Nothobranchius furzeri: one gene and its partners. The protein of the gene in region 1 binds, or shares a complex with, the protein of each later gene. Links are inferred from orthologs where the notes say so. Each region holds a gene or a part of one and is shown in the gene's direction. Other genes may lie near its edges.

Region 1 (3,647 bases):
CCGGAGGGGAAAAGCTACCTGATCTGTTGCATGATCAACATCTGGAACGTCAAGTACAACAGCATCCACTGTGTGGCCAACCTGCTGGCTGGCCTGGTGGCCTACCAGGAGGACGTGGGCATCCACGTGGTGGACGGTGTGCTGGAGGACATCCGGCTTGGCATGGAGGTAAAAACCCAGCTGGACAAACTTCTGACCTTCACCAGACTGACTTTATTTTAAAGGTTTATGATTTTCTCCAACGGGACCTTTAAAACCCGAGCTCGAGCTGGAATGTGCTGGCAGCAGATCGGCTGATCAAACCGGTGCACACACAGTTCTGCTTTGTGCACATTTTCTAAGAACTGTGTCATCTACCTGCTTGAACCGTCCCTCCTGCGGCTCACTCCCATCGTAAACACGGAGCCTCGTCTTCTGCTGGAGGTGTGGAAGCACCTGAGATCAGAAGAGTCCGATAAAGGATTTCTAAATCGTTCGCTGTAATCTCCTAATTTTAATAATCTAGGACTATAGAACGTCCGTCGTTTAGCGGTAGTTTGTTGTTGTTTCTTGTTTTATAAACAGGAAAACAGCTTCAAACACTTTCTGATCCTTACGTTGGGTCCAGAAACCATCTGCAGAGGTGAAGTTCAGCTCCAGCATGCAGAGCGTGCAGCACGTCCTGCCCAGTGAGAGGAAAGGAAAACATACTTTGTGTGTGTGTGTGTGTGTGTGTGTGTGTGTGTGTGTGTGTGTGTGTGTGTGTGTGTGTAGCGTGTGGCGCCACTGCTGTTAGACCTGAAATCAGCGGCGTGTTGCAGGATCGTTTTCAAGCTCTACGAGTTCAAATGGAGCCGTTAATTTTTCCACAAATGCACAAAGATTCACCTGCATGCGTTAGAATCTAGTCCAGTGTTTCTGACTAGGATCTTTAATATTTAAACTCTGAAATGCGTAAAAACTAATGATGAAAATGATAAATATCTTAGTCTGATGCTGAGAAATGATGGATTTAGGTTGTTTTGATCAACTCTGGAAGATGACATCATCTCTAACATCACAGGTTCTTCGGGACATTTATTTAAAGCTTTTGTTGTTTGGTCGTTTATCTGATGACCGCCTGTCTGTCGGTTCCAGGTCAACCAGCCAAAGTTTAACCAGCGGCGCATCAGCAGCGCCAAGTTCCTGGGCGAGCTCTACAACTACCGCATGGTGGAGTCCGCGGTCATATTCCGCACCCTCTTCTCTTTCATCTACTTCGGGGTGAACCAGGACGGAAGCCCCAGCCTTCTGGATCCTCCGGAGCACCTGTTCCGGATCCGCCTGGTCTGCACCCTGCTCGATACCTGTGGCCAGTACTTTGATCGCGGCTCCAGCAAGAAGAAGCTGGACTGTTTCCTCGTCTACTTCCAGGTATGTCTGATCCATGAAGCTCGTCGTCTCTCGGCTTTACCATGAGAGTTTACAGAATCAGTGAAACGTTGTTTTGTGTGTGTGTGTGTGTGTGCAGAGGTACATCTGGTGGAAGAAGAGCCTGGATATTTGGACCAAGGACCACCCATTCCCCATTGACATCGACTATATGATCAGTGACACGCTGGAGCTCCTCAGGCCCAAGATGAGGCTCAGCTGCTCCATGGAGGAGGCCACCAAGCAGGTCACCGACCTGGAGAGGGAGGTGCTCGTCAAACTAGGTAAAGCAGGGTGTCCGCGGGGTTTTAAAAAGTATTAAAAAGTGATAAATAAAAATAGTCAAATTTAAGGCCATTAAAAGTGTTAAATTTGGTCTCAGAGGTATTATTTTTTCCAAATTAGGTATTATTTTTTTCAGACTATCAGATGTCGTATTCTGAACATCGACATAGAAATATATTCCGAATGAAATGTGTTGAACGATCATAAAAACAAAACAAGCCGATTATTTGCTCCTCCCACTTGCGCTGCCTTGAGTAGCAAATGAAGCGCTCCTCACAATGTTGCCAACTTGTCGACTTTGACGCTATTTCTAGCAGCTTCTCAGATCACCTTCTTGACTTTTTAAATCTTAAAAGTACCTAGCGAACACCTCAGAAACATCTCTGGTAACCCTTAGCTACTTTCTGGATAACTGTCGTCGACATTTCCTGCAGGTTAGCTAAACACTCCGCCTGCGCTCCGGACCGTTCTTCAGGACATTAGGAAAGGGAATGATGTAGTGATGTGTCGGTCGCTACAGAAATGGCTCTCGGAGCCGGCTCCTTGTTGGATTAACCAGAGTGAGTGACACACACACCGCACCTGCGGGCTCCTGAGCCGCTAAAAACGGCTAAATGTGCGGCGTGCTAAACACACGTGCAGCTTGCCCCAATTGCTGTGAGACCGGGTTGGGGGGTGGGGGGTGCAGCTGTGGTTGGGACAATTATTACATTAACTGATGGACTTGTAAATAAATAGTTTATAAATAAGGTAGAAATAATTTCCTCACGCTGATAAATAATAACTAACCTCTCTGAGGACACGGTGCTAGTGCACGCTCCTACAGCACCTTGACACGACTCAGTAAATGTTATGTAACATTTTGTGAACATCAATTTATTTGCATTTATTTGTTATAAATGCCACTGTATAATTCTTGCTGTCAGTATTTGCAAGATATTGGTGTTTGGGTCTGTACTGGTTAGACTTGAATGAGTTAAACCAAGGTCTACAGCCCGTGGGTCATAAACTATGAGGTATAAGTATATTGGTCTTTTTATACTGGGAATCAGGAGTTATTTTAGTGATCATATTTTTTCTTATTTATTTTTGTCCTGATTGTGCCCTGAGCAATTTTATGACTGAATCAAAATAAAAAAATAAAAATCAACATAAATTGAAAAATCGTCTTAAATAATCGAGATCTCAATTTCAGTCACAATAATCGTGATTATTGTTTTTAACATAATCGAGCAGCCCTACTTTAGCATATCCGGTCACATAATGATGACGTCATATTCAGTGGTCGTTCTGCATCATTTCAGGCCTCGTGGTCAACTGTCTGAACCGCTGAACAGAAGTGCCTGGCTTATTTTCTAAGTAAAATAAATATGTGCAATACGTTGTCAACATCAGTGAGTCTCTAAGTCTATTCTTTTTGAATGTTATATATGTTAAAATATGTGTAAATAGGTCGCTGATTAACACTTGCAATTTAGTGTTGTGATGGTTTTAAAAAAATTCTGAAGGTAGTAAAAAAAAGTATTAAAAAGTAGTAAATTTTACTTAAGGATTGCTGTATATACCCTGTAAAGATGAGTTTCAGCTGCCGGAAATCGTTCGTCTACATAGAGTGATGGGTGTTAGAGCAGCAGCCAGTTTCACGGGTTTGTTGGGTCCCGGTCGTCCCTGCAGAGCAGCATTCCTCGGAGTGTGGGAGTGCACGCCACCCACAACCCAACACACACATACACACACTCTTACCCAAAAACCCGTCAGCTCAGAGCACGTTCATTAAATTTAATGACAGCTTTTGTCTCTGACTCGAGTTTGTTTCAGGTAAATGAAACAGATCTGACTCATCAAACACGCATTTCTATTCAATTCAAGTTTATTTATAAAGCGTTAAATCAGGACCAGAGTCGTCTCAAGGACCTTCACACAGTAAACATTCCAGTACAGGTCAGGTCATTAAGCCAATCAGTAACAAGGTT
Region 2 (4,360 bases), about 48 Mb from region 1:
GAGGTGGTTTGGGCATCTGGTCAGGATGCCTCCTGGACGCCTCCCCGGGGAGGTGTTTCGGGCATGTCCTGCCGGTAGAAGGCCCCCGAGTCGACCCAGGACACGTTGGAGAGGTTACATCTCCAATCTGGTCCGGGAACGCCTTGGGGTCCTGCCGGAGGAGCTGGTGGACAAGGCCGGGGAGAGGACGGCCTGGAGCTCCCTAGTTGGGATGCTGCCCCCGCGACCCGGACCCGGATAAGCGGAGGAAGACGACGACGACAACTTTCAATGCTCTACATGGTCAAGCTCCGCCCTATATTACTGAACTGTTAAAGCCTTATGCTCCAATCCGAGCCCTCAGGTCCACTCACCAGAACGTTCCAGATGTTCCAAAGACCAGATATAAAAGTCGAGGGGATAGCTCCTTCCAGACTGTTGCACCCCGACTCTGGAATGATCTTCCTTTATCTTTATGTAGCATTGACAGTTTAGACACTTTTAAAAAAACAGCTAAAGACCCTTTTATTTAAAGCTACTTTTACCTAAATCTTTTATTTTCTTATTTTTAACTCAAAATTAGAAATCATCTTTCATCTGTTTTATGGTATTTTATCATTTAATGACTTAACTTTTCTGTTTTAATCTTTTTTTAAGATCATTATGATTTTATGACTTTATGATTTGTTTTGTTTTGATCTATGTGAAGCACTGTGGTTTTCTGTCTTTGATGAGTGCTATATAAATAAATTTACTTACTTACTTTACTAGATGATGGATGGATGGATGGATGGATGGATGGATGGATGGATGGATGGATGGATGGATGGATGGATGGATGGATGGATGGATGGATGGATGGATGGATGGATGGATGGATGGATGGATGGATGGATGGATGGATGGATGGATAGATAGATAGATAGATAGATAGATAGATAGATAGATAGATAGATAGATAGATAGATAGATAGATAGATAGATAGATAGATAGATAGATAGATAGATAGAGTAACTTTATAAACAGATAAAGATACAATTTGGTAATACTATTAAAAGATAAATAAAATAAAAGTATCATCCATCCACTCTCTATACCTGTTAGTCCATGCAGGGTCGTGGGATAAACGTATCACAAAATACATTAATCAAATACATAAAAGTAACGAACAAGGAAAATTTGAAACACAAATAGGGAAACAATGCAATGTTTCCAATAAAAAGATGTCTAGTGTCACTAAGTGGACAGTAGACATATCTCAATCTTAACTTTACATCAGACTTAACCCTAGCTCTACAAAAAAATTTACTATAGAAAAATATTTTAGAATGGACATTAACAAAAATATAATTACCAGTAATTACCGAAAATAGTAATTACCAAAAACATTTTTTTTTAAATGTGTAATTGCTTTGTATTTAGCGCCACCTCCTGGTAAAAACTTGTAAATGCAGCTTCAGTAGTCAGAAAGGAAGTTTCGAGCGGTTAGTATCTAGCTGCTAGCTGGCTAACTCTCTGAAAAGTAAACAAGTCTGTTGAGTGAGATGAGAGCAGGCTGTGGATCTCTGTAGACGTTCAGCTATGAAAGAAGACAAAGAAAACACTCGACCGAAGGAGAAAAAAGTGGAGCTAAAGTGTGAAGATGGAGAAAAGACTGAGAAGTCAAAAGAAAAGAAAGAGGCCATGACAAAGGTAAAACTTGCTAGCTAAAGCAGCTAATGTTGCTACAGACGTCAGTTTTGGATTCGTGTAGTTCTATTAAATAAAAGCATGGTTTAACTTTTTTGTTTTGTTTTTGTTTTCAGATAAAATGTTCTACGATTGAAATTATACATTTAAAGACTGGACCAAAATTTCATTTTACAAAGCCCTGCTTAGTAATTAAGGTAGTGAACTTTTTACAATGTGTTCGTAGATTGTAATCAGACGATTACCACCAAGTCTGTCTAAAGAGGAGTTAGAGGAGCAGCTGCAGCCTCTCCCAGAGGTGGACTACATGGAGTTTTTCTCAAACGACACCAGGTGAGTTCACCTGTAAAATGACTGTTAGCATTTCCTTCATTGTGTTGGTCTAACATGGCACTTCCGGTCATTTTAGCCTGTATCCCCATCTCTTCGCGAGGGCTTACATCAGTTTCAAAAATGAAGATGATATTGTTCTCTTCAGAGATCGATTCGATGGATATGTGTTCATAGACAACAGAGGTATCAAGAACACACACCCAGTTTTCTGTGAAGTGTTCCAGAGCGTTGACCTGAGACTGTCCTTGTTTATGTTTGGCCATTCAACAGGACAGGAGTATCCAGCCATTGTGGAGTTTGCGCCGTTTCAAAAGATAGCCAAGAAAAGAAGTAAGAAGAAGGACTCGAAGTGTGGAACAATTACTGAAGGCAAGGGTTTAAACTGTCTGGTGGTTTTGATCTTCTCTGTTATAAAAAGAAATAAGCTTGAAGAAACTCCATGTTCGTCCCTAACATATCTATTTTGAGATCTATCTATAAAAATCTATAGCTCAGCATGTTTGTGTTTTTATCAGATCCTGATTATAAAAAATTTCTTGAATATTACAACGGAGACGAAGAGAAGCTGACATCTACGCCTGAGACCTTGTTGGAGGAGATCGAGGCCAGATCAAAAGAACTTGAAGGTTTGTTTATGACAGCACCGTTATCACTTGCTGTGTTTGTCTTCAAATTCCATTTTTGGTTCTTTTTTTAAACACAGATAAGGTTTTTCTTTACCTTGCTGACGTTTCGTTTACGGCTGCAAACATCTTCAGAGCTGCCGCTGATGTGGATGTGTAGGAAGTGACGCCACCATCAGCGTCAGCTCTGAAGATGTTTGCAGCCGTAAACGAAACGTCAGCAAGGTAAAGAAAAACCTTATCTGTGTTTAAAAAAGAACCAAAAATGGGACTGTTATAACTGCTTGTATGTAAACAGGAGCATTGCATTTGACAAGATTTCTTATTGTGGGTTTCTTCCCCTTTCTTTTAGCTAAAAAGACCACGCCCTTGTTGGACTACCTGAAGAATAAACAGGTAAGCATGTGGTAATCGTTTTTTGGTGTTTAGGATAAATTGGTTCAACTGCATGTTAGCAAGAATCCATCAAACTTTCTATTTTAACTTTCAGAGAATCAGGGAGGAAAAGAGAGAGGAGAGACGAAGGAGGGAGCTTGAACGCAAGCGCCTGCGTGACGAAGAGCGTCGCAAGTGGAGGGAGGAGGAGAGGAGAAAACGGAAAGAGGCTGAGAAGATGAAAAGACTTGAGAAACTGCCGGAGAAAGACAAGGACCACGTTAAGGAAGAACCAAAAATTAAGGTTCGTGCAGTGAAAAAAAAAAATGCATCTGTCAATTTCAAGTTTCTCATGATGATTGTGTCTTTATATTCAGCTCCTGAAGAAACCAGATAGAAATGATGAAGCAGAGTCTGAAAAGCCTAAAGAGAAGTCCAAGAAACCAGAGAAGCCACATAAAGAGGTCCGGTCATTCAGTGATCTGAAGAGGAGACATAACATCGAGAACAAGGAGGATCGTGAAAGAAAGTCAGTTCTTGTTCTTTTTTTCCTGGCATTTTGCACTTTTGTTTGTACATTTAACTGATTTAACTCCAGCTGTGATTTCCTTTTAGAAGAGATGAAAGTGGGAGAAAGGAATTCAGGGAGCGGGACTTTGATCGAGACAGAGAGCGGGAGGAGCGGCGGCAGAGGGAAAAGGAGCGCTTCAGACGGCAGGACGAGGAAAGACGGAGGAGGAGGGAGCAGCATGATGGAGAGAACACGTTCAGGAAGCGGGAAGAGGAGATTAAAAAAGAAAAGGCGTTGGAGAAGAAGAGGAATGAAAACATGGCAGATTCCCCTCGCGGTGAGAAAACGGAGAAGGCTGCCAAAGAGAACAAAAAGGATGAGAGCAGCAAAAGGGAGCGACTGCGGAATAAGGTACGGACTCCAGTTATTTCTCACACTTGTGCCAAATAATTTCTGAGTTTGTTTTCCTTTTGTAATATTTTATTTATATTATTTGCAACAGGACCGACCCGCCATTCAGCTTTACCAGCCAGGGGCCCGGAGCCGCCACCGTGCCACACCAGGAGCAGACAGAAGAGAATCCAACTCTGCCGACAGAAAACCAGATACTGAGAGCAAGAACGTGGCTGAGAAAGTAGACGACTGAGCAGACCTCTGCTTTTGTTCATTTGAGTTAGGTGAAGAGACAGGCCTGCGAGCAGCAGTATGGCGTCTCGGAGCCACGCGCTCCACTGATTAAGCAGGGCTCCCAGTTTCGGAGGCAGAGGTGTGATCCTCTTTGGTCTGTGTTAGGAGAAGAAACGATTCACCTTCTGAAGGAGTTTGGCTGTAGGGCACATTCAAGGAAGC
Region 3 (3,647 bases), on another chromosome or scaffold:
ACAGGTATCGTCCCTCGGTTTTGTGTAAATAGCATTTATTTCACTTTTTGGGAAATTAAGTATCTAACTGATGTAAAAAGGGGTTTTATGTTTATTATTGACAATGAACAGTAAAGCCTAGCTAAACACAACGAAGATGTAGTTTGATTCTGAAGTCAAGCTGTTCCTTTTCCATTTATTAAAATGTTTGTTTTATTCATCTTTTCAAATGTTTTTATTTGTGTTTTAAAGTTCAACAGAAAATGGATTTTAATTGATTCTGGTGTGTGTTTTTTTTAGGACTGAGGCAGCCAACGTTGAGAAAATCACGACCAGGTTGCTCAAAGCAGGAGCCAAACCGGATCAGATCGGCATCATCACCCCCTATGAGGGCCAGCGCTCATACCTGGTCCAGTACATGCAGTTCAGTGGTTCACTTCACACCAAACTCTATCAGGTACCAGATTCTGCTAAACTACAAGATCACCTCAGGTCTTTGAAATGCCAAATCTACTAGTAAAACAGTGTAGTTTATAACTTCATGCATCAGTAAAAGACCCTGAGGCCTCATTTATAAAACTTTGCATAGAATCTTGTTAAAACTACTCGAGCTCAGCAAAAAACAAATTTACTTATGCAAACTATCCAACTTATAAAACACTGCGTACGCACAGCTGCACACAATTCTGTTCTGTAAATCCCACTCTTCCTAGATATGTGCCCAGGTGTTTTTGGATCAAATCCCAGCTCCTATATACCACACCTTCTGACAAATGGTCATTGCAGAGTACTTTGAATACTCTGGATATAAATAGGCCAGCTGATTGATCGCATTTCATGTAGTAACCATAGCAACAGAGACTTTTGTGACATAGGCACAAAAAGGTGTTTGGCCTAGAGTGTTGCAACAGTGAGCTGTTGAGCCGCTGAGCAATTGCTGTGGACATAAAAAAATTAAAAATAAATAAGCATTAAAACACAATGGTCAGATGGAGGCAAAGAGGAAAACGGCGATAATCATTGATTCCATCCCAAAACGGCTGCATTAAGGTGCTGAGGGATAGCTGAGATATCCAAGTGCCAGGTTTGCTGCGGTGCAGAGTTTTAGTTCATAGTTTTATTAACATGCGCTATCAGACAATGAAGGCATTAATATGTATTCTGAATGTAGCGTCATGTTTTACAACAATATATTAGGGCTGCTTTATTGTGGCAAAAATGATGATCACAATTATTTTGACTGAAGATTATTTAAGATGGTCTTTAATTAAGTTTGATTTTTTTTATTTATTTGATTATAACATTGCACAGTCAGAGGAAAATAATAATAAAAAAAGAAACAGGATAATCACAAACACCTCCTGATTCCTCATGTAAAAGAGCCAATACACTTATTCATAGTTTATGACTAAAGGGTATAGGCTGAAGTTTAACTTATTAAGATTACCCAGTACGTACCCCGTTTGAAATAACAAATACTCCATCTGCTGACAACAAAGGAAAGCTATACGGTATGGTGCAAACATATAAACTATGTTGTAGTGAACTTCCTCAACCTGTAATAATAATTTAGTCCTGTCCCGGCGGAGGTGTGTGTACAGCAGCATGATGCAGCATGTCGCTCAAAGAGATCGACTATAGTTATTTATCAACCTGAGAAATTGGAGGTGTGGTGTGAGAGCACATGAAGATGGTTAGATACGTGTCTCACGCTGGTCGTGTGAGAGTCAGTAGTCCTGATAAAAATAAATCCACCTCAGATGTGGCTCACTGTGTCTTGAACTTACTTTGCTTGTAAACAGCTGTTTTTGTCTTTGTTTTTTTTTTTGAACGAGTGAGATCCACAGAGAAAGGTTTATGATTGGTCAGTCGATGTAACGCGATCAAGCTGCACATGCGCACATCATTCCCTTACCAATGTCTGGAAGGACATTCCGGAGCGCAGCCTGAGTGTTTTGCTAACCTGCACCTTACGTGAGGCTGAAATTCACCATTTTACCATCTTGCAGGTTCTTGTTGGTTTCCTATCTTCAAAATGTACTGATGCTAGGGTAAAGGTTGGCCTAAAGTTGCACATATTTTGCCGTCATGCTCTTAACCACAAAGCTTGCGTAGAGAATGATTTACGTCATTTTCAGACCTCATTTTGTGCTTAAGCTAGCTTTATGAACAAGGCCTCTGTTGAGCTGTTGCCACTTTCTCTGGTGTAAAACTTACTTGTTCCTTTGCTCTTACAGTCCATTCTCTCCTTTAATCGCCTTTCATTGGTTTTTTTCCCATAGCAAGTGGAAATTGCCAGTGTGGACGCCTTCCAGGGCAGAGAGAAGGACTTTATCATCCTGTCTTGCGTTCGTGCCAACGAGCACCAGGGCATTGGTTTCCTGAACGACCCTCGTCGTCTCAACGTGGCGCTGACCAGAGCAAAGTAAACAAACTCAGTTAGAATGAATCTGGATAACATTTGAACGTCAAATCATCAACTCATTCGTTGCATTATTGATTTTTAAATTTTTGATATTTCCAATATTTCCTGGTATTTTTTCTTGTGTGTGTGTGTGTCTGTGTGTGTGTGTGTGTGTGTGTGTGTGTGTGTGTGTGTGTGTGTGTGTGTGTGTGTGTGTGTGTGTGTGTGTGTGTGTGTGTGTGTGTGTGTGTGTGTGTGTGTGTGTGTGTGTGTGTGTGTGTGTGTGTGTGTGTGTGTGTGTGTGTGTAGGTATGGGGTGATCATTGTGGGGAACCCAAAAGCCCTCTCTAAGCAGCCTCTGTGGAACAACCTGCTGAACTATTACAAGGAGCAGAAGGTTCTGGTGGAGGGACCTCTGAACAACCTGCGGGAGAGTCTGATGCAGTTCAGCAAGCCTCGTAAACTGGTCAACACCATCAACCCTGTAAGTAGCACTATAAACTAATCCTACATGAATAAGCCCTAAATGAGTAAAATAGTTGGTACTTGTCATTTCTATTGTCGGCTTCGTTGAACAAAGCCTGCAGCAGTTTGAAATGATGCATGTTTTTCAGGGAGGGCGCTTTATGAGTACTGCCATGTATGATGCTCGTGAGGCGCTCATCCCCGGCTCCGCCTACGACCGCAGCAGTGCTGGTATTTGGTTACTATTTCTTATGTATTTGATCACATCAGTGGGTTGTTGGCAAATGTCAAACTTGTCGTGTTGTTAAAACCCTTTCAGCTGGACGTCCGTCCAACATGTACTTTCAAACCCACGACCAGATTGGGATGATTGGCGCCGGGCCTGGTCACATGGCTGCGATGAATATTCCCATACCCTTTAACCTGGTGATGCCCCCGATGCCCCCACCCAGCTACTTGGGTCAGACCAATGGCCCCGCTGCAGGTACAGCCATGCTAAGTTCATGCACACAGCAGGTTAGAAAAACGGTTATCGGTCATAAAAATAGAAAATTAATCATGATTCTTGGAAATTCACTTGGAAAGTAAACAGAATCTTAAACTGTTGTTGGGTTCGTTAACTCATTCACTGCCATTGACAAATTAAGTCATCAATTGCATTTTTTTTACTGTGTGGGCATCGGAATGAGCCCCCGCACCGTGAGAACAAACATCCCAGCTCTAAAGCCGATCATCTGCGTACGTCACATGATCAGGGAGCAGAAAATCCACGTGTTAGGAGATCGTTTTGGGCCACTGC

What was found.
Region 2: the proteins of upf2 (region 1) and upf3b are in contact, whole or in part, in a crystal structure (PDB 7NWU), measured with the Homo sapiens proteins. The link is inferred for Nothobranchius furzeri from reciprocal best matches to the Homo sapiens genes UPF2 and UPF3B. Residues at the interface, in NP_056357.1 of Homo sapiens: Lys767, Arg768, Pro769, Pro770, Leu771, Glu773, Tyr774, Lys777, Lys790, Arg793, Gln794, Arg796, Lys797, Leu798, Pro799, Trp800, Gln801, Cys811, Ile814, Asn815, Trp817, Tyr837, Gln838, Glu839, Asp840, Ile843, His844, Val846, Asp847, Gly848; in NP_542199.1 of Homo sapiens: Lys52, Arg56, Arg57, Tyr79, Glu81, Phe83, Asn85, Asp86, Thr87, Ser88, Leu89, Tyr90, His92, Tyr94, Arg96, Tyr98, Ile130, Glu132, Pro135, Phe136, Lys138, Ala139, Ala140, Arg147, Asp148, Lys150, Val151, Gly152, Thr153, Ile154.
Region 3: the proteins of upf2 (region 1) and upf1 are in contact, whole or in part, in a crystal structure (PDB 2WJV), measured with the Homo sapiens proteins. The link is inferred for Nothobranchius furzeri from reciprocal best matches to the Homo sapiens genes UPF2 and UPF1. Residues at the interface, in NP_056357.1 of Homo sapiens: Val1105, Cys1107, Glu1109, Asp1110, Phe1113, Ile1114, Ala1116, Leu1117, Met1120, Met1121, Asn1124, Leu1125, Arg1128, Met1169, Pro1170, Phe1171, Val1172, Met1173, Leu1174, Thr1175, Gln1181, Lys1184, Leu1186, Asn1187, Val1188, Pro1189, Ser1192, Gln1193, Leu1194, Asn1197; in NP_001284478.1 of Homo sapiens: Asn150, Thr151, Ser152, Gly153, Val157, Asn158, Leu160, Val161, Arg162, Lys164, Lys166, Pro175, Leu176, Gly177, Thr179, Tyr184, Cys188, Asn190, Val191, Phe192, Leu193, Phe196, Pro198, Asp202, Ser203, Val204, Val205, Val206, Leu207, Cys209.

The regions. Positions count from the first base shown.
Region 1 is NC_091741.1:38,118,475-38,122,121, forward strand, and holds part of upf2 (regulator of nonsense transcripts 2), read left to right. Parts: coding exon 1-168; intron 169-1,116; coding exon 1,117-1,392; intron 1,393-1,489; coding exon 1,490-1,673; intron 1,674-3,647. UniProt on the Homo sapiens protein: Involved in nonsense-mediated decay (NMD) of mRNAs containing premature stop codons by associating with the nuclear exon junction complex (EJC).
Region 2 is NC_091741.1:85,713,659-85,718,018, forward strand, and holds the start of upf3b (regulator of nonsense transcripts 3B), read left to right. Parts: upstream 1-1,435; 5' UTR 1,436-1,561; coding exon 1,562-1,672; intron 1,673-1,895; coding exon 1,896-2,002; intron 2,003-2,078; coding exon 2,079-2,185; intron 2,186-2,272; coding exon 2,273-2,371; intron 2,372-2,517; coding exon 2,518-2,628; intron 2,629-2,977; coding exon 2,978-3,021; intron 3,022-3,115; coding exon 3,116-3,304; intron 3,305-3,377; coding exon 3,378-3,529; intron 3,530-3,615; coding exon 3,616-3,922; intron 3,923-4,013; coding exon 4,014-4,157; 3' UTR 4,158-4,360. UniProt on the Homo sapiens protein: Involved in nonsense-mediated decay (NMD) of mRNAs containing premature stop codons by associating with the nuclear exon junction complex (EJC) and serving as link between the EJC core and NMD machinery.
Region 3 is NC_091748.1:65,897,821-65,901,467, forward strand, and holds part of upf1 (regulator of nonsense transcripts 1), read left to right. Parts: coding exon 1-4; intron 5-279; coding exon 280-436; intron 437-2,261; coding exon 2,262-2,404; intron 2,405-2,692; coding exon 2,693-2,867; intron 2,868-2,997; coding exon 2,998-3,079; intron 3,080-3,167; coding exon 3,168-3,332; intron 3,333-3,647. UniProt on the Homo sapiens protein: RNA-dependent helicase required for nonsense-mediated decay (NMD) of aberrant mRNAs containing premature stop codons and modulates the expression level of normal mRNAs.